2 linked regions of the Lytechinus pictus genome follow. The protein of the gene in region 2 binds, or shares a complex with, the protein of the main gene of each other region. Links are inferred from orthologs where the notes say so. Each region holds a gene or a part of one and is shown on either strand. Other genes may lie near its edges.

The links.
Region 1: DNA polymerase alpha subunit B-like (region 2) and DNA primase small subunit-like share a complex: the UniProt entries of both Homo sapiens proteins name them as parts of the alpha DNA polymerase complex. The link is inferred for Lytechinus pictus from reciprocal best matches to the Homo sapiens genes POLA2 and PRIM1.

The regions. Positions count from the first base shown.
Region 1 is NC_087245.1:19,761,059-19,772,175, forward strand, and holds the start of DNA primase small subunit-like, read right to left. Parts: upstream 4,396-11,117; 5' UTR 4,381-4,395; coding exon 4,204-4,380; intron 3,560-4,203; coding exon 3,453-3,559; intron 2,807-3,452; coding exon 2,733-2,806; intron 1,735-2,732; coding exon 1,598-1,734; intron 1,048-1,597; coding exon 989-1,047; intron 1-988. UniProt on the Homo sapiens protein: Catalytic subunit of the DNA primase complex and component of the DNA polymerase alpha complex (also known as the alpha DNA polymerase-primase complex - primosome/replisome) which play an essential role in the initiation of DNA synthesis.
Region 2 is NC_087251.1:49,042,110-49,053,239, forward strand, and holds the start of DNA polymerase alpha subunit B-like, read right to left. Parts: upstream 4,628-11,130; 5' UTR 3,620-4,627; coding exon 3,523-3,619; intron 3,007-3,522; coding exon 2,882-3,006; intron 106-2,881; coding exon 29-105; intron 1-28. Other genes in the region: NF-kappa-B inhibitor epsilon-like, read right to left, coding at 9,966-10,360. UniProt on the Homo sapiens protein: Accessory subunit of the DNA polymerase alpha complex (also known as the alpha DNA polymerase-primase complex) which plays an essential role in the initiation of DNA synthesis.

The sequences.
Region 1 (11,117 bases), on a different chromosome or scaffold from region 2:
TTGATTGAAAGTCTTTAAGATTTCAGAAGATGTAAAATTGGATTACAATGGATTGCAAGTTTCTTGCAAATACGGTACCTCTCTCTTGACCGATTGATCGAGAGAGATAAAAAATAAAAATAAATAAAAGCATAGCTAAGCTAGCCAAGCACTAGTAACACGAGCTGTTTACGTAAGTTCATGGGCGCCCTCGTGCACGTTTGTATTAGTTTACAAAGAATTGGAAGAAATACAAAAACAGAAGAAAATAACATGGAGATATACAAGAAAAAATTGACTGTATCATTATCCTGGTATTTCTTTCAATTTTGATTACTTTATAGACGAGGTCCCATAGAATTGAATATTGTAATTATGATTGTTGTGAGTTGCCGTGTCGACCGACCTGGACTGAAAAACAACATTGCCGATCTTTGCTGGGCAGCCTGGGCTAGCTAGCGCGCGCTGAGCTGCGGCTCCAATCAGAGGAGTTAATTGCGTAATGCTTTCAATTTCGAGATCAGAGCGGACCCATTTCGTGGTACAAAGTCACCCCAAAAAACATTTTCTCTCCGGAATAAAAGGCGAATTTGCAAATTGTAAGTTTGTAAGCTCTAGGCTAGGTTAGTAGTTGGCATATATTTTCCTGATTTGAGCCTGTATAAGTGTAGGGATTGCAGAAATAATATTTTTCATTTTTCAAAGATAAATTGACTTGCGGGTTAAAACCCGACGGGTCAGCGGGTACCGCTTGCAAATTATTGGATTATACGGGACTGTACGGTTCGGGTTTTCACTTGCGGGTTACAACATTAGCAGATATTATGTATGTAACTAGGCTTATTTCAACAAGTACCAAGAAAAGTTCAATTATAAAAGCACACTTTTGAAAAGGGCCCTAAATTAATGCTTGAATGAAGTCTGATAATAGAAGAAATCTACTTAGTCCACTGTTTTGTAACATGGTACAACTGAAACCACCTTTGTGAATATGAGACTAGAAACTCACTCTACAGATGGATGTAGCTGCTCTGGAAGACTGACTTTCTTCACCTGATTTTCTCCTCCCTGAACAAATAAACAGAAAATCAACTTTGTCCATAACTCAGCTCTAAATCTCCAATATTCTAATTTACAAATTGTCATTATCAAGCTGTTTCTAATCTAACTTCAAAGATCTTATACTCTGAATTGTTACCCTTTTAACCGTCAATACATTGAGCGGATGTGAGCTTCTAATTCAAATGATGGCCCTTATAATGCATCACATATTTAACCTACAAAACCATATAAAATCTGTATTATTCCAAATGAAGAATAAGTAAAAAAAGAAATGAACATTACTGTGGAGATAAATAGTTACAATACAAACATGATGGGCATCACATGAGTATCGACAGTTCTCGCTTAGAGAATAGTGATATATTATCACATGAAAAAAAAAAATGTGGTGTCATGGCTGGTCTGCATAATAAATTCCTCACAGAATTCATACTAAAATAATTGGAACCCTCCTACAGTCAGAATATTCATATACTATATAAAGCAATTAGATACTTATAATATCAACATTACCATATGCAAATTTATTCTCTATTTATAGGTAGCTAATGATTACCTTGACAATGCTGAGATACTCTGCGATTGCTGACCGTGCATTCTGAGATAGTTTTCTAGCAGCCTCATCGCACACCCAACAATGAACACCACGTCGCCCTGAGTAGACCCACAAACGATGCTCAAAACCAAAGTCATCTGCACAAATGATCAATTCAAAAGTTTTTGCTTGAATTTATCAGCTCATAATGTTATATTGTTGAATTATTCAAGGGCACAGCCATATTTCATCTGTTTGTAAATTTTATTAATTTAGTCATTTGTCAAATTCTTCAGTGTAGCACAATTTCTTGTCCAACCGTAGACAAATAAAATAGTCAATTAAGAATTAAAAACAGTTTGGATATGTACACAATCAAGTCAAATTACTTTTTTTTTCTTTTACTTTATTATTTATAATTATATTGCAATGAATCAATTGAAATGATAATTGCTGATGGATCCTTGTTACATTTGTTTCGCCAAATTAACTGTTGCCAGTATCAGTTGTATACTTTTAATTCATGTTTCTTTTAATATTCTTATACTGACCTGGATGGAGGTAAAGGGGTGAGGGAAGGAAGACCTGTGGGTCGTGGTAATTTAGTTAACCTTTTCCAAACCCAGGCAGCCCCTTTATCTCTATTCCAGGTCCTTTGTATTATGTCACGTATTTTATGTAATTTGTATTGTACTATAATTCATGTATTTTGAAATGCCGAATAAATAATAATAATAATAAATTGTAATCACTCCACCGGTCTGTCGGAGTTATAGTGCAATCTTGGGGTGAGAAATGGTAGTAAACACATACAGCATCATAATAGGCCGATATATTAAAGCAAGAATTTTGACAAGTACTGCATGGTACTCTTATGTCCAAAGTCCCACTTGGTTGATGATATTACATGGAACTTAAGAAATTTAGTTCTTAAACTGATAAAATGTATTTCATCAGTTCATCGATCTACCAGTCTGCAGAAAATGGCACTGGTGACTGGCAACATCAGTCGGTTCAACCCGGCCCTAGTTTCTTAATGCTCGATGCTTGTTCCAAGAATTTGGGATTTATTTCACTCAAAATATTAATGTTAGCTGTCATATTCTTGTGAAATATACATCCACATTGTATTTCAAAATATCTATAGAGGTCATACCATAGAGGGCACTGTCCACAATCTTTATTGCAATCGTCATCAGGGGCCAACATTTGGAGCATATATCTGCACCTCTGTAATGAGTAGACAATAATATTGAAATAAAGATAAAACAGTTGTAAAAGTTATTATATTCTTTGATACATATCAAATCTTCTCATCAAGCAACTAAAAGATAAATACCGGTATCTCCTACGTGCTTATGCCATTATGCCTCTGCAAATTTTCGTATACATCTGTATGTCAAATGATCATTGTAAACTTTTGACCTGAACATAGCAAAATAATCACTTATAGTGTTGCAAACTTGTTGTAATCATTTCACGATACTCTTTCCTCTTTTCCTATCATTTTATACCAACAACATTCATATAAATTCTTATAGAGAACTAGGATGCAAAAAGGGGAGCCGCCCACGAAACTAAAAGAAGGAATTTATTTACCGCCATTTTTGTAGAAATAATCTATTCTGTGGTGCACTAGAATTATCATCCCTGGTTTACCTCGAGCTGCCACTTCCAGGGTCAGTGCCAGATACCCATTCACGTCATCACGGTTGAGTGCAACACAATGTAAATAACAACACACCATGGTTGGGATTTGAATCCACAACCCTCTGTCTGAAAGTCACAACCACCAGACCACAACAAGCCTATGGGAGATAAATCAAAATATGCCCCTTATTTCAGGAGCAATCACTATACATTTTATTTCACTTACTGGCAACAACTCCTGACATCATCATAATCCGTCATATCAATATCAAAGACAAGCTCTTTCTCCTGGGCTTGAAATGCAGCCGCCTTTAACGTCCGATGATCTTTGGGCTAAAAAGTTCAGAAATGAAGGATATAAAGAGAGTATAATTCAAGGAATTAAAAAGAGGTCTCATCTGCAATCTTACCCCCCCCCTTATCAAATCTATTTTCCTGCCAATCCTGTCATGAAATAATCAGATGAATTGTTTTCCCTCAACACAATTATAGAATTCATAAACTGGTAGGTTGTGAAAAATGTTAGTGGTACAGTGGATTTGAAATAAAAAAGCAAGTCGAACATTGTGAAATAATGAGAACTAGTTGATAATCGAGTATGCTGAAAATCACCAAACAAATGATCTTCAATTACAGCTGAATATGCTGACATGTATGTTTCCACTAAATGTATTTCTGGTGGTTAAAAGTTGCAGTAAAATTTTTATCATTCCACAATCAAAATGATTTGCATATTTCTTTATATTATTTATTCAATATCATGCATTTACATTTGTTTAATGCCACTGAACTTCTGTAGTTTTGTATTAAATTCAATAAAAATCCCATGGAAGCACATTGTATGATACATGCACATTGAGATAATGGTATTCAAAATACTAGATTTATCTTCTATATCTTGATTAATTTTCACCACCACAAACATCTTTCTTTGTGAAAAGGTTAAACAGGTTTTAAAATGGCCCTACGTAAAATACCTTGTGCGTGAATACAGCGCCGATATCAATCTTGTATGGACATCTTTTCTGTATCTCTTTCTCCAATTCATTCTGGTCACTGAACGATTGGTAGCGGATGTAGATGTCGTTCTCAAGAGTGAAGGAAAACTCACGATTCAAAAAGTAGCTCTTTGGAACTGTATGGACAAATTGCATTAAGATTTAGGTTGAAACATTGAAAATGCAAAAGAGGAGGGAAATAATGCAATTGTCAATGGTCCGATCAGCTTAACAAACAAAGCATTGCATGGTTTAAATTGTCTGGCTGGCAATGGGCCAAACAATTGGACATAATAAATTTGTGTTTGCTAACTAATCTTATTTTTTCTTTTTAGCTGCATGTTCAACGATTCTTTCCAATATTATGCTCGTTCGTATCAAGTTCTATCGATGCGCCGTCGATGTTCGTCGACGGCTCTAACATTATACAGTAAACCTCGCGGACGGTAACTTGAGAACTAGTAGTCGACGATCACCCACAATCTGTAGAGGCGCACGGCCCAGATGGGAGACTCTCTCCAATATGGAAGACAATCTCCCATGTTGGAGACTTGCTTTGCAAAAGGACAAAAGAAACAACACCAACAAAAGCATGATTTTTTCCACCCAAAATTTTGTCTCACTGAGGTCAGAAGCCCATTTGTTTTGTGTGTGAATGACAACAAAAATCCTTATCAAAACAAAAGTAGACGGTGAATTTTTAAAGTAGACGTTGAAAAGGGGTAATTTTTCATGAGGAATCTGCTTATCACATTTTTATTTGCCGCCAAGGTAATCCTTTTGCAGCAAATGTAAACAAAGGAAGTTGGTCTCCCAAACTGGAGACTGTCTCTGAAATTGGATACCCAAATTCTTTACGAAAGTCTCTGATATTGGAGTAATCTCCCACATGGGAGACAGTCTCCCATATTAGCCTTGCGCCTCTACTGACCACCCATGGGTGCATCTCTGCCGCCGTGTACAGGAAAATTGAGGCACGGCGCATTCAACAATTCAACAAACTCCTGCAAATCTAATAAGAGGATTTACAGAATGAAATCCTCCTACGAAACTTACCAAACGATGTGAAGTCAATTCCTCCTAATATGGTGATTATCCCTCAAAAAGCATCATTTAAGCGTTAATTTTTCTTCTCATTGACCACAAAATACAAAGCAACCTTGCGAGTTGTCAAATTTTTCGTCTAATGAGCGAAAGAGGGCGCGCGATTTATCTTCGTATCAAAGACACTACAAGGGAAAGACTAGACACAAAAACTATCTTACACGTAAATCGATGCAAAGCGTTACGCGAAGTTGGCAAAGTGTCTGAGCTTTTTACTGTAAAGACTTTGGTGGAACGTTAATTGACAAACGAACGGTAGCACTTGCGAGGCTTTGTTCAAGGTACGTAGAATTTTCTATATTTTTTGTTTAATTTGTCATCGCTTTGAATATTTTCCAAAACGTATTATCGTCAGCAAAAATAATAAAAAAGTATGTTTTTTAAGTTATTGCATTTATTGGTGTCTCTATTATATCAAACAATCATTGGAATTGCGCATACCATGAATAAAAAATCTATTTAAAAAATACCGTCAAGCTGAATTAAGGTTGTGAATTGTATTAGCGCCACCAACGACCTTCCTTTTATTTCCGTCAAAGAGACATGCAAAGCAACTTTCCAGGCCGAGGTAAGCAATTTTGCTCTTTTTTTGCATGCTTTTTCCATGAATAAAATTTGTAAAATTGAAAATGGAACGCTTTTCACCAGAAAAAGCCCTGGTGAGTAGCGGAATGAGTTTCGGCTAACATTATTCGCGTTATGAAGCGATGTTAACCGGCAACTCTAAAATCCATACTGTAAACACGTACGTGGTGACGGTGGTGCGAGGTTCATATAAGTACATACTATAAACCTCGCAATACGTGTGAGTGTCTACTGACATTAGTCAACACACCCCACCAGTTCAACATTCGATCGAAGGAGCGGATGAGATTGAAATTCGGCAAATCAGGCCCATATTTCCATCAGAAAATATATCAATTGTTAATGCAAAACTGTTATATGATATTTTAAGCATTTTCTGTCATTTTAGAGATAAATAAGGTAAAACTAAAAATTAAACTATCAAGTAGGCCCCTAAACTAAAAAAGTAAAACTAAAAAGTTGGATTTTTTCGCCTTGTCTTTGCAATCTTGTTCTATGGGCATAATCGTGATATAGTCCCCAAATCCAAAAATGGGGATTATTAGAATCACACCTACCAGAACGCATGAAAATCACTTCCTTTCTCCAGAACACAGTCCCCAACTCTCTCACAGCTCGAGAACTTGCGAAATGATAACACACACAAATGAAACACACACTTGGATTCTCTCCCTATTATATACTTGTGATACAGTCCCCACTCTACGGGAAATCAAGTTCACTTTGCACGCAGTGGGGATAGCTCCAACAGTATATATACTCGTGATACCGTCCCCTCACAACATAAAATCGTGCTCGTTCGACAAGGGGATGGGGACAGTTTCCCAGTGCAACGTGACAAGGAGGACTCATTCAAAACCTTCGGGAATTATTATTATTATTGTCATTATCATATTATATTATCATTATTATCATTTTATCATTATATTATTATTGTTATTTAATCATAATTATAATTATTATTGTTATTATCATTATTAATATTATTGTTATTTAATCATAATTATCATTATTATTATTGCTATTATCATTATTATTATTATTATTAATATCATTATTATTTTTACTATCATCATCATATATCATTATTTTTTTATTATTTTTGTTGTTATTATTATTATTATAATGATAATGATAATATCATAAATTATTATATTATCATTATTATTATTATTCTTTATCATTGAAAATGTGCCCCTTCCATCCATTCTGTTCCTTGTATTTCATTTAATTCCTTCAAATGAAATCACTGTAGACTCATAATAACGTTTGGGTATTAATTATTATCATAATTATTATCATCATTGGCATCATTTTCATTTTTGTTGTCGTTATTATTGAAAGAGTCACCCCAAAACATTAAAGTAATCAATACAAATATGTGACGGAAATGAAAATAAAGTAATGATAACAACAATAGTATAATGATGGTGATGATGATAATAAAGATTAATAACAATAATGATGTTGATAATAATTATGATAAAGGTTAATATAATGTTAATAATAGAGAATAATAACAATAATAATAATTATTGTAAAATAATCAATAAAAGATAAATAATGTTAACAAAAAATAAGGATAACAATATTAGGTAAATAATAAATAAATACCATAAAAAATAATGACAATAATGATGATAATAATTACGATAATACCCAAAAGTTATGAATGAGTCTATACAGTGATTTAATTTGAAGGAATTAAATGAAATACAAGGAACGGACTGGATTGAAGGGGCACATTTCCAATGATAAAGAATAATAATGATAATAATAATATAATAATTTATTATACTATTATCACTGTTATGATGATAATAATAACAACAACAATAAAGAATAATATTTATTATGATGATAGTAATAATAATAAAATAAATAATAATAATGATAATTATGATTAAATAACAATAATAATAATTATGATAAAATAATAATAATGATAAAATGATAATATAATATGATGATGACAATAATAATAATAATAATTCCCGAAGGTTTTGAATGAGTCTTCCTTGTCACGTTGCACTGGGAAACTGTCCCCATCCCCTTGTCGAACGAGCACGATTTTATGTTGTGAGGGGACGGTATCACGAGTATATACTGTTGGAGCTATCCCCACTGCGTGCAAAGTGAACTGTGTATCCCATAGCGCGGGGACTGTATCACGAGTATACTATACTGTTGAAACTGTCCCCACCGCCGTGAAAATCAAACTTGTTTTCCCGCAGAGTGGGGACTGTATCACGAGTATATAATAGGGAGAGAACCAAAGTGTAAGTGTGTTTCATTTGTGTGTGTTATCATTTCGCAAGTTCTCGAGCTGTGCGAATCTAATAATCCCCATTTTTGGATTTGGGGACGGCCAAATTCGCTATTGTGCCCAAGCGCCATTAAAACTGCTCAGCCCAGTGAAAATTCTTATCGCTAGACGTGCGTAAGAGCATGTGCGACCGGTGTCACACATGACCGCACAATAACAAAGCTCAGTCAGCGGGATATCGGCGTTCAGTGAAGTGGCGTGTTAATGGGTATTTCAGCTGTGCGAGAGAGGGGCGGGGATTAGGGATTGGGGGGGGGTGAAGGGGCACTAAAATATATGAAATCGGCGGGTTTTCAATAAAATACTATGTGCATCGTATTTTCGTTTTCTTTTTGTGTTTTCTGTATGATACATGGTTGGTAGATTTATTCCTCATTCATTCATTCCATCCAATTTATTCATCATACTGTGCATTTCATTTCATATTATATTATATTACGTAACACTGTTTTACTAACCTTATTTTTTCTGTCCATGATGGGGATCGAACTCGAACCTTCTGATCTGCAGTCCAGCATCGTAGTCAGCATGCCACATGAGATGAGCTGACAGCCGAAACTGGTTTAGCGCTCAAGTCGTACGGAGGTTTCCCCGGCGGCAGTTATAGCAGGCCAGGGAATCAACGATCAGTGATTTAATTCATTAGAAAATATATATATTGGTACCAATAATTCCAAACAGGATTTTGTTATTTTTTTCACTTCGTTTATATTATCGCTATGTATTTTAACACGATGTGCGTTTACTATTGAGTATATTGAGTCACCTGAAATAACACCCGGAACATTTCTCTGTTTAGGCAACAGGGGGCCTAAACATGGAACAAAAAACTCACGCAACTAGTTTGCACTTGATGTTCGTAGTCGGCGTGTAGGCCTAAAACTTTATTTTAACATATATATAGCTTCCTTTTTTTCATTCTAAACTCCCAAGTTATCCCCTCTACAGCAAACCTCATGTCGATATCGGTCCGCCAATATACGATCTTCTCGGATATTTTCAAATAAATGTGGCATTTTGGTAGGCACGGCAAAATTGAAAAAAAAAGTATGCACAAGAAATTGTAAATAATTTCATATACTCACTTTTGCGTTATCCTTCTTGGTTATATATAAATGCCCCGTTATATTGAATTTTAACCTCCTTCACTCCTTCCGCCAAAATATTCCAAGTCAACAAATTTCCTCATTTTTTTTTCGCCCGGCAAGCTCATCAATCATCTCTCTCAAACCTTTCTTTCTTCACTCTAATCCTCTCAAACCATCCTCACTCTAATCCTCTGCGAAAAGTTGCGCCCTCCATGTCAATCGTGCCCCACTGACATCAAGATGTGTCTTGCCGCATCTCGCACATAATGCATAAACTTTTATGCATGATTTTATATATTCATGAACTTTCACTTCATGCTGTATTTTTATGTTGTTTCCCAATTTTCCTCCTTCGCAATATTGCTTTATTCCGTAATTGTTAAACTCTATATAGGGCATTTTATTATGTCCAACATTTTTGCGTATCTTTTCTACTCTTCCATCGTCACCCTATCATAAATGGATTTTGTCAATGTTAGCTTATTTTTATTTTCCTCAAGAAAGAGCAAGACGAACTTTTAATGGTACAGATGTATATTTCAAAGGTGATTAGCTGCAAATATACGGAATAATGGAAAAACATATGTTAAAACGCAATTTGAATTTTTTGATGGGCAAATTGATTAAGGTGCTAGTATAGTGACAAACTTCACTAAATACGGGATAAAGCTTATAGAGAAAACTTGGTGAGCATAGGGACGAATCAACCGAGATTCTAATAATTACTATTGACCGGAGGGCGGGAAAAGTGGTGTTCTGGGTTTGAAATGTCTGGCTGGGCGGGGGGTAGAGCGAAGGAAAAGTATATAAGGCAACAAAAATGGGAGGCATATTCGGGTGTTAGTATAAAATCTTCAACAAAATACGTAAAAACCGATATAGTAAAGTTGAAACGCAATAATATATATATTTTTTTTTGGGGGGGGGGCATAATTATTTAGGTGCTAATAAAGAGTGACAATTAAGCTTCACCAAAATACGGAATAAAGTAATAAAGAAAAGTTTGTGGGCATAAAGTACTAAGTGATGATCGAGCCAAGATTCTTAATTCTCTATTGCTTTAGTCCGTATCAATTTGATGCAGTATAGAGTGACTGCATAAAAAATATACAGAATAAAGCAATACAGAAATGTTGGCATATTAAGGTGCTGGTATAAAGTGACAAACTTATCAAAATACGGAATAAAGCGATATAGAAAATTTTGAACACAATTTAATTTTCTGTGGGTATATTAAGGTACTAGTATAGAGTGACAAACTTCATAAATATACGGAATAAAGAAATATAGAAAAGTTGGTGGGCATATTAAGTTGCTAGTATACAGGCCCAAATTTCTTGAAATATGGAATAAAGCAAGAGAGAAATGTTCTCATTTAATTGATTCCTCAAAAATGGAATATGTTATTTTTATACAATTGTTTTACTAGTGATGATTCTGATTTTAATGTTATTGATATCGAATTCATTCACTATTTGTATAGAACCTTAGTTGCACTTTTATCTTTTTGTATATATTGTTATTTCATTTTAACAGGACCATGTTTAAAAACAGTGAATCTGAGCTTGTTATCCTGTATAAAGATATTTAAATAAATAAATAAATTTGTTATGTTTGTTTATAGTCTTCATTCTTTATGGTGTATATTGCTTTATTACGTGTCTCTGTGTCTTTTTTTTTCTTTTTTTTCATCTGTTCATGATTTTATTTATTCATGAACTTTCACTTTATGCTGTATTTTTATGTTGTTTCTCAATTTTCCTCCTTCGCGTTATTGCTTTATTCCGTAA
Region 2 (11,130 bases):
TCAGACAGACATTATTTAAGAAGGATACATTGAGAATGATGTTTTCCTGGCAGCTTGCTTCTGGCTTGAAGGGGTCTTGACTTTAGAGCTCTTTTTGGTCAGTGCCTGGAGGTAGAACAAAAGTCATAATACCGGTAATAATATTCTTATCTACCCAGGGTAACTACTCTCAGCTTTAAGCTGTGCTTCCAGCGGGACCGGCATAACATAACATGATATTATCATTATAAACAACTTTTATAAAAAGATAATATTGGAAAAATTTTGGAAAGACCAATCCCAAAATTTTTGAAGAAAAAAGAGAAAACAAACATTCCATACAATCTTATGCAAGCAATTTTTTTTTTTTGGGGGGGGGGGCTACTTTTCACAACTTACTGCCTAAAATCTACAACACTGGATATTGCTTTCACATCATGATGAACTGGAATCTACAACATTGGATATTGCTTTCACATCGTGATGAACTGGAATCTACAACATTGGATATTGCTTTCACATCGAGATGAACTGGAATCTACAACATTGGATATTGCTTTCACATCATGATGAACTGAAATCAACAACACTGGATATTGCTTTCACATCGTGATGAACTGGAATCTACAACATTGGATATTGCTTTCACATCATGATGAACTGGAATCTACAACATTGAATATTGCTTTCACATCGTGATGAACTGGAATCTACAACATTGGATATTGCTTTCACATCGAGATGAACTGGAATGTCCAGGGCTCCTTGCTTTGTTTCCAGCGCTCTTTTGAACATTTCTTGGGCTAAATCACCCCAAGTCCCCTTGTAATTCTTCCCCAGCCCTTATGCATACATTTTCGCTTTCTTTTTTCAACCTGTATAATGGATGAACATCAGTTTAAGGAGAAAGGGTTATAAATCTCCAAGTCCATTGAATACCATGGCTGTCCTGTGGATTCCTTGTTGACTGGCCTTGATGCCCCTCTCATGTGCCTTGGAGATTTTTGTGCTCTTGTTTTTGTTTCTCCCATTTGTGCTGTAACATATAAATACGTGCCCAATGGAAAAGTGGCCTTGCCTTAAACATATCAAATGTAACTTTTAAGGTATGTATTTTTATCTTTACAATGTATTAATTTCACAATTATATAGGCCTACCTCAATCATAATTATCATACTGATAATTTCTCTGATTTTCCACATTTAAAACATGTGGAACAAGCAAGAATGTTCTCTTGAGGTTCTTACAAGATCAGATGATCATAATTATCAAAACTATCTATCTGAGTCCGGTTTGCAGATGAAAAAAAGTACACCACCAAATTGATATGAGTTTGAATTAATTTTTTTAATTGTTTCATTCATGATTCATTGCCTTAATTTTTTTAGTGATGAACGAGGTGTTTCTCACGTAACAAATAGCCAGGGATTTTCACTTTCCCTCGGCTTCGTTATAAGGTACCACATCCTTGCATCTCATTGACTAAGAGCAAATTAAGTCACGGACAAAATTTTTCATGAAATGCTCCCCTGGGCTCAGGACTCATCCGTGTAATACTAGGCAGACATGGGTATTCTCCAAAATGGTGGTATGGGGTCGCACCAGCACTCCAAATAAATCTGGGAAAAATGAATTATGCACTTACCTCGATTATATGGATGAAGGTCTATTGTGACACAGAATAAGGACATCAAGGAACAAACTGGACCCTCAAAAAAAGGAAAAGTAGCGTTCGTTCTCAGTATCGATCGGCCATTTTGTTTTCAATTTTGAAAGAACGAACGTGACAGAACTTTTCCTTTTTTTGAGGGTCCAGTTTGTGCATCGATGTCAGGATTCTGTGTCACGATAGACCTTCATCCATATAATCGAGGTAAGTGCATTAATTATTTTTTCCCCTTTTATTTGGAGTGCTATTGCGACCCCATTCTATCCCATTTTGGAGAGTACCCGTTGCCTAATATTACACAGACGAGTCCTGGGCTCCCTGGGTTAGCTCCCCTGGAGATGTCAATAGAAACTATTCAGTTAACAGTTTATACATTTACCATCTGGTCGTTGATAATAGAAACGTTCCCAGGGCCCTGTTGCATAAAAAGTTTCTATTAAGATAACTTTGCCATCCAATGGTAACTACCATGGTAACGATGATCAACAACCAATCGGAATCAAGTATTCCATACAAGTTACCATTGCATGGCAAAGTCACCAAAATGGAAACTTTTATGCAACGGTTCCCTGATCTAGTGCGGGACTTTTTTAACTGAATTCCTTTTGTACCTTCTTTATTTCATTCATTCATTCATTTATTTCGGTTTATTGTACAAAATACTTCCTTGTTAAAACAGTCGGTAGACTGATACAAACAAAAATTACAATGTAAACATAAATTTCATAGAACTTTACATTTATAAGTGAAATGAAATAGTCAAATAATATAAAGTAACAATTAATTAATTGATGTTGGTATATTGCACTTACAAGGTAATTATAGATGAGAGCACGTTACAAAATAAATTCCAAAGATATTTATAAATAAAAGCTATAATATGGTAATGCTAACTGAAATACATGCACTAAATTCAATAAACAAATCTATAAGTTGTGAAGAAGGTTGAGATTGGGATATGAAATTAAATCGCAAAGTGGAAGGTTCATATTGAGAAATAAATATGGAATTATGTTTTTAAAATATAATTTTAAGGCTAGTGTAAGACATCTGACATACGGAAAATAAGGCATAGAGCACTGTAAATTGTTTTATTATAGATTATATTATTATCACTGTATATAAAAATATTGTCGCTACATGAGTAAAAATGCAAAACTGAAAAGTAGAGTAGAAAAACGTTAAGAACAAGTAGACTAGCCACACCCTAAATGCATTTCAGCAATCCGTACCTCTCTCTCAAGTTGCTCTAGTGTATCGATGTTAATTGCCAGTCCACTGTGAGTTGTAGAAAATGCAATCCACTCGGCCACTGCATCCTCTGCTGTCAGGCGGTATAATAAACATAATTCTTTCACTGTAACAAAAAGAAAGAAGAAAACAGACATAAAATGTCATCATAACAGCCATTTTTTACATTCAATTAGCAACATAATTATTTTGGCGAGGGGAAATTCATAGATCTAGAATACGTAACAATCTACTTTTTTTTTCTCTGCAAAATGAAAATTTGTTAGATGTCTACTTTTACAACATACTACATAGTCTACATTATGCATGTTAAGCCATCATCTTGAAATTAGTGCTCCTTCTACATCATGCATTTCATAAAATAAGTTTCATCTAACGTTAAAAGAACATGCTTCAAACACAAGAACAAGACACAGATTTATAAATTTATGATTTTTTAATTTCTTGAAAATTTTGCATCTGGATTGAACAACCATGACAACAATGCAATTCTCATTTATTATATAATCTAGTTAATACATGTAAATTCGATAACAATTCATTTGCACATTAATGATCGAGTGGTGGAATTACATGCCTAATCGTTCAAAGGAATGTAAGTTAGATTTCTAACAAAACTCACACTTGTCAACAATGTCAGGATCATTGGTGTCCAACGTTACTCCAAACGTTTCAAACTGTTCAGAGAGGTCATCTTCACTGACACTGACAGAAGCCATGATGGACTATCGAGACCAAGTTACTTGAGTCTATGAATTAAAATTTTGACTGTTTCACAGATTCAAAGTTCAACTTAAAATTTGGCCAAGATCTCACTACAATTATAGAGAGAGAGAGAGTTGAGTTGAACTTGAAGGATGACTTAGGGCAGGCCTAGTAATTACTAAATACTAGTATCGATCTCCCGTAGGTAGTAGAACAGGTTCAAATATTTGCAGCACGAGCCACGAGTTTAATCTCAATTCAGTCAAGCCAAGGGCAACTTCTTAATTTAACTCCAGTAGTCTGCGGAGTATGCCAGTGAATACAGCAAACAAAGACGAATTAATACCAAAAATTTCGAGCTAAAATTACAACCCCTGCAAAACTGAACAGGTAGACTGAATACGTATCACTATCAAGCATCGGCGAATACGATCGATTCAGCGGACCAGCGTACAGTGCACACTAGGCGCTAGGCCAGCGCAGCCCGGCCCCGTGAGCTGCTGCAAAGATGACACTGTCTGCGATCTTCGCGCTTGTTAGATTTCCCGCGTTGAGTTTCAAGTTGATCTACTTCCGGTACCGGTACCGAACATAAGAATAAAAATTAAAAATTAAAAAATTAAAAAAAATGAAAAGGCAATGCAGTCAACGTTGCTGCCATTTTTGCCCGGCATTTTTGTGTGGTAGTGAGGTTCGGTGGATGCGGTAGAGGCTGTGGTGGGTGGTGGTGGTGCTGGTGGTGGTGTGGAGGTGGTCGCGGTGGTGATGATGGTAGAGGCGGTGTGGTGGTATATAGCGTATATATATAGACATGGTGGTGGTCGGTGGGGTGGTGGTGGTGGGGTGGTGGTGGTGGTGGTGTGGTGGTGGGGTGGTGGTGGTGATGGTGTGGTGGCCGGTGGTGGTGGTATAGAGGTGGTGGCGGTCGGTGGTGATGATGATGGTAGAGGCCGTGGTGGGTGGTACTGGTATAGCGTATATAGACAGGGTGGGGTGGTGCTGGTGCTGGTGATGGCGGCAGTGGTGTTTATTGTTGTTTTTGTTAGCTCCATTCCCGCGAGTTCCACTTTCACTTTATGACGTAATCATCACTTCTACTTCAAGGAGACTTGTCTGGGAGATTAATTCTGTTTTGTTTTTATTATATTTTTCTTGGGGGTGTATGTTTCTCCATAAGAGCCAATTTGCTTTTTTTAGAGTCAGACCACAGGAGTGTTTCGTGAATCTTGTCAGTATAATTTCCCACTGACATAATATTCTATGTCAGTCAGATGCAAATATTTTATTTTAGTACCTTATATAGCACTCAGTGAAAATTTGAACTGACTAAAAGTTTTATGAAATGCATTCATTCATTTACCTAGGGTAGCCTTGACGGTATTGAACAGTACGTTACGTATCAAAGACTGAAAATAATATAATTTAAACAGATAAAATAAAATCAAGCAAATTAAAACACGGGAGGAATCATCAAAATCGGACAAGGAATAAGAAAAATATGATATTTTAAATTTGTGCACTATTTCGATGAAACAGTTCTTTGCATGTCTTAATCATGAATATGCAACTATGCAAGGCAAGCTGATGATCCCCAGAGGCGGAGCTAGCGCAATCACCCACACCAGAAAGAAAGAAAAGGTGAACAATTGGTTGATAAGTTAATAGAAAGGTGTGTAGAACCACTATTCCTGGTATAATTTAACATTCTTATGTAGGAATATGAATCATCGATTTCATTTTCTGGCCCTACTGATGGAATTATCTGTCAATTGATATTCGAAACATCCCAGACGCAAAATATTTAGCAAATTGTTAAAAATAATGCTGCTCGAGGAATTTGACATTTGTATATTAAGCTGCCAAAAATAAATCTCCGATCTTATCGGAGGAAGAACACAGAGGAGAGAGAGTATAGCGATTTTGTGATCTGTTCAGATGTATTTTTTTGTATTCAGTGTAAATACAACCGTTAAAGAGGTCTGCAGTTATAAGAAGACTTAATAATTAAGTTAAAGTACAAGCACTGGCGTACAAATAGAGAGGAATTGGGGGCCATGGACCCCCAAAATTTTCACGACCAAGAAAAAAAAAGAGAAAAGGAAAGAAAATTGATGAGAGAAGAGTGAAATATATCATTTTCTAAATGTTATGTCAAAACCTTTAACAAAAATAAAGTTTTTAATTAAAAAAATGTCGGAATTTTTGCTCACTCGCTTCGCTCGCAATTTTCCGTTGTGCCAAATCAGGCCCCTTAAAATATTTGGCTCATTTTGCCACTGTGTACAAGTATTTTTATTTAGGTTAAGGTTTTGTTAATAAACCTCGGTTAGAATTTTGCTATTTATGGTTCTTGTTCATGTGTGATGTACTGTTAAATGCAAATATGATACCGTGAGATTTGGTAATGAAGTTTAGTATGCCATCTTCTTTTTTAAAACGATGACACTTCATTCTGAGATGATGTTAAGGAAACTGAAAAAGTTCAATTTACCTTTGAAGGATTTGGTGACAATATATGGGTTATATATGACCAATTTTAGAATATTGTGCTCCAGTTTTCCATAGCAGTCTTACAGCAAAACAAAATAATACTATTGAAAGAATACAACGTAGAGTATGTAAAATTATCTTAGGACATAATTACATCACATACACAAATGCATGTCAGGTATGTAATTTACCAACACTTGAGGAGAGAAGACTGACACTGTGTAAAAAGTTTGCAAAATCACTTTCAACTCATCATTTGTGTAAGACATGGCTACCTCGGAAAAAACATACAAACATATCTCTTCGTCGTACAAACTACTATCAACAATTTCCAATAAGAACAACAAGATTTAAAAACAGTCAATTGCCTTTTTTGGTTGACATATATACTCAACAAAGGATGAGTGTGTCGACTAGGAAAGGCAATGCAAAATGGTCATCCCCACCCCACCATACAATTATTTTTGTCATTTAAATAAGTGTCAGTCTCCTCTCCTTCAAGTCTGCCATTATCATATTGTATTCATTCATTCATTCATTCATTCATTGCCTTTTATGCTTTATTTAAATTGTATTAACTTTTGAATGTATAGCCTTTTTAATGTATTTTACTGTGGTTTTTACTATGTATTTAATAATGTGCCAACACCAACTTGTAAACATGATATTTCCAGCTCTTGCTGTTTTTTCATGTATGATTGTTAACATGTTTGATTATCAATAAAGACCATTTTTGAATTGAATTGAATTGAAAATGAGATATTGGAGCTCGGTTTAGTATAACCTTATTTCTTTTTAACATACTTTATTTCTGTTAATATTTTGTTTTTCTCAAGCATCGTTGATGCATTTATGTAACGGAATCCAATAGTTTTATCGAAGTAGTATGCAGCGTGGTTACTACCGATTTTTATTTTATTTTATTTTTTTACCTTTTTTTTGTTATTCTTTTTTTTTTTAGTTTGTGTTTTTTTTTTTTTTGGGGGGGGGGTATATAGCAAAGAAGTGTGAAATTTTCATTGCAATTTGTAAATATTTTGCTTTGCTGTTTGTGGATAGGCCGGGCGGTACATGCCCCCCCCCCCCCGCAATACTTGGTGTAATGAGTAACAATGTGCAATGTACTAGTACAATTACGACATCCAAAATTAAATTGTTTGATAAACTAAGACTGCATGCAAAAAAATGGATCACATCTAGTAAAACTCACTAAATTTTGTCTAATTTATAGATAAGCTATATCCGAGTTTCATCTAATATCCTCTTGGTCTAACATCACTTTAAAATAGTTAGATCGGCCTCCCAACTCCTCGGACGAACAATGAAAATGAAATAAATTTTAATTTGTCATAATAAAAATCAATAAGTGTAGACGAATTGGTCATTGGACCAACTGGGCATTAGACAAAGTAAGTATTGGACCAAGTATTATAGCTGTTTAGTCCAATATGAAACACGGAGTTATTTACTAGTACTTTATTTAATACTCTGATAAAACATAAACAGCGCCCCCTTTTCCCATGAACAATATAGTACTTGCTGACAAGCACGTAATTGTTGTTGCTGAAAATGCCAAAAGGTATGATAGTACGGAGATTTTTCTTCAAAAAAGGAAGAAAAGAATAAGAAAGATCAAGAGAATTAAAAATAAATAAAATAAATTAAGGATTTTTTTCTATTTCGTCTCACTTCAAAATGTCTCATGCTATTGCCCCCCCCCCCTCAAATCCATTCATCATTTTCTGTTCCTTTATCTTAACTTCCTTTCTCTCTCTTTTGATAGTGTCTAGCTTTGGTGAATTTGTAACAAGAAATATGTATTGAGGGTCAAAGAAATCTTAGTTCCCTGCTTACCTTTAAAATGAATTAGGTTGTATTTTGTTTTATTTTTTAAGGAAATATATCATCATCATATAATCATTTTTTTCCTCCAAATTCTCTCTTTCACCCTCTCTCCTTCACCCCCCCCCTCTCTCTCTCTCTCCTTATTAACTATTTCTATCAATGTTCTGTCTCTTAAGTTACTGCTATATATCCATTACACACTAACACACTTCACATCAAATAACATTGGTATCACAAAATAACTCAAATTTAAATTCTTCGTCTCTTTTTATTCATAACTTCTTTTACTGGTGGCAAAAACAAAACAAAATAATAATAATATTCAGGATAAATAATCAACAAAACAGTGATAAAATTTTGAATAATTCAAACACTCTATAGATAAAATATAGAGTGGATACATTTATATAAAAGGTGAATTATTTCAAAATCCTTCCCTTCAATATACTAATCTTTGAGGATAATTATTGAGAATAATTAGAGTGCAATACTATTTTTGTTTCTTCAAGAATAAAACCAACCCTACATCCTTTATTCAGGTGAAGTCAAAAAGTGCAGTCAACTGTGCATAAGATGACCTCCCAGTCTTCCATGAGAAAAATATTACATTGAAACATATTCCAGATGAGCAGCTAGCTTCATAAAACCTGTTATTACAAGAATATTGCAACGATAGTTGAAATCAACTGATATCATTCAATTTGGCTGGCTGACAATAACATGTTTTTTTTAACTATTCTGCATTTTTTACATTTATAACTCTTTATCAAGCAGAAACCAGAATTATACAAGCATTTGTTATTTACCTCTTTGAAGTTAAATGTTCCTCCCACCCCCAGTTGAAAAGGTTTTCAATGGTCCTGAGATACATATATTTGCCTTTGGCAGATACGTCTGTGCCTCAATTTTCCACAATAATTAATAACAACAAAGTAATTGAGAGACACATACTTCATGAACATTTCTAATACAATACATACTATGAAATGTCTTTGCCTTTGATAAAACCTGGATATGGACAAGATTATTAATTACAGGTTTTAGAAGATACTGAATACATGCCTGAAATGCAATTTATTTTACTGCAAATAAATGCATTTTTATATATATATGTACACTATATACATTATTTACATGATTGACAAGAACACGATCAAATATTTACTCTTGCTCATTGGTTTCGTTTCTTTTGGTAGTTTTTCTTTTTTGCTCAGTGTTTATGTGTTGCTTGAGAAGTCTGCTATTTAAAAAAAAAAATGAAAAAAAAATTATATACAAGACATTTTTTTTTGAAAGATTACATTTGTACCCAAACATATATTACAAGATTACAGAAAATATCTGAATTCCAATAAATGTTTTTTCCATGCATATGACTGAAACGTTATTCTTTTTTCACACACATTTCCAAAGACTAATAATACTTCTCTCAGTTTCAACATTCACACATCATAGCAATGTGATATACATGTACATTTACCAATTCCTTCATATTCTGACCACATCACAATCTCAATTCTCCTACGTACAAGCACAACAGAACTGCAATTCTTATCCATCAAGTGTTGAAGCATTGCATAATACCTATTTAACTGCAACAAAACATGTCTGTACAACAAGTTGTCTAATACATGTACATTTTACTGAGCAAAGGCATTACACTAACATTACTTCAACATCAAGACAATACAATAAGAAATTATCAGAATATGTCATCCATCCTTTTACGATAAAATCAAAAGTTTGGATGTCTTCCTTCTTTCTTCTTTGTCTTCCTTTTTTCTTCTTCCTGCCGTTTCGCTGCAATCCCCTGGACTTAAAGCCCTTTCCAGTTTCTTCACTTAACATCAACATACCACAGCTATCTCACTTCATGTCATGTAACATGTATCCATGATAAATGGTCCGGTTGCACGCTCTTTCTTCATAAAGGAGACGCTGTCCTGCAACATCTCCCCTTGCGGAGACAGTTTGTTCATTTGCCTTCATCATCACTCTACCCATGAAAGGACAAAGAGAATGTCTTCAGTAGAAATAATCTGTAGTGTCATATTCATGTCCTTGTGAGAGCAGTGACTTGAGCGATGGGATGTTGGTCAACTCATACGCGCACTGCCCCTCAAAGTTCTGGACCTGGGTGTCTGCCCGCGCCCCATGGAGCAGGCATGCAATGTCCTCATGGCCCCTCCCTGCTGCCAGGTGGAGGGGTGTGCAGAGGTCGAAGGTCACCGCATCAACATCAGCGTGCAGTTCGCAGAGGAGACACTGGACCAAGTGGAAGTCGTTCATTTCGACTGCGTAGTGGAGACTGGTGCGACCGCTCTTTCCGTCCGGCTCGTTCACGTTGGCACCAATGGCAACCAGATACGTCAAGAGACCAATGTCGCGTCTTAGTGTTGCTAGATGCACACAGGTTAGACCTAGATGAAAAAGAAAAATACACGTTAAAAGCATATCAGATTGAAAAAAATCAATTGTTCTCAATAAATAATATCAATGGTAAAATTATTTAGGCCAAATATCAAGAGCTGGTTTCTATAAATATAAAAAGATAAAATAAACCACAGTTGTCACTATCAATTAGTATATTCAAATATAACACCCACTTATGCAATATACATATAAATTGTCCTTCAAGCAAAAACAACATAATTTAATTAATGATGAAAATATATAGAAAATGAAATACAAGATTAACACATCCTCTATACCATTTCCTGGAATTGGTTGAAAAGGAAATAGACTAGTAAGAATTCCATCCCGCTCACTCAGAATCAAAACCTACCATTATGCCAACACAACGGTTGGGAAAAACCAAAGGGGAATCCCCACATGCAAATCACCTCCCACTCTGGCCTGACCATATTTGGTAAAGTGATGAATAATGCATCATCCATGTTTGAATAAAGATTCTTGTTTGCCTAGGTTTTAATGGAGACAAAGAGTTCAAGGTTCAGCCCAACCCCAATACACCCACTACCAATTGACAAAAAGCACAGTCATGCTTTGAGCAAGCACGAAATGGTACTGTGCACATACACAAAGTCACACACTGTGGTATTTCTAAGCAATAGGGTATTTCCAATGGGATTTTTTCTTCACATTTTCAATGGAATTTTGTTTAACTATTTTTTTTGGGGGGGGTCTTTTTTTTAAATTAATTAATATTCATTTTTCATCTTATTATTAT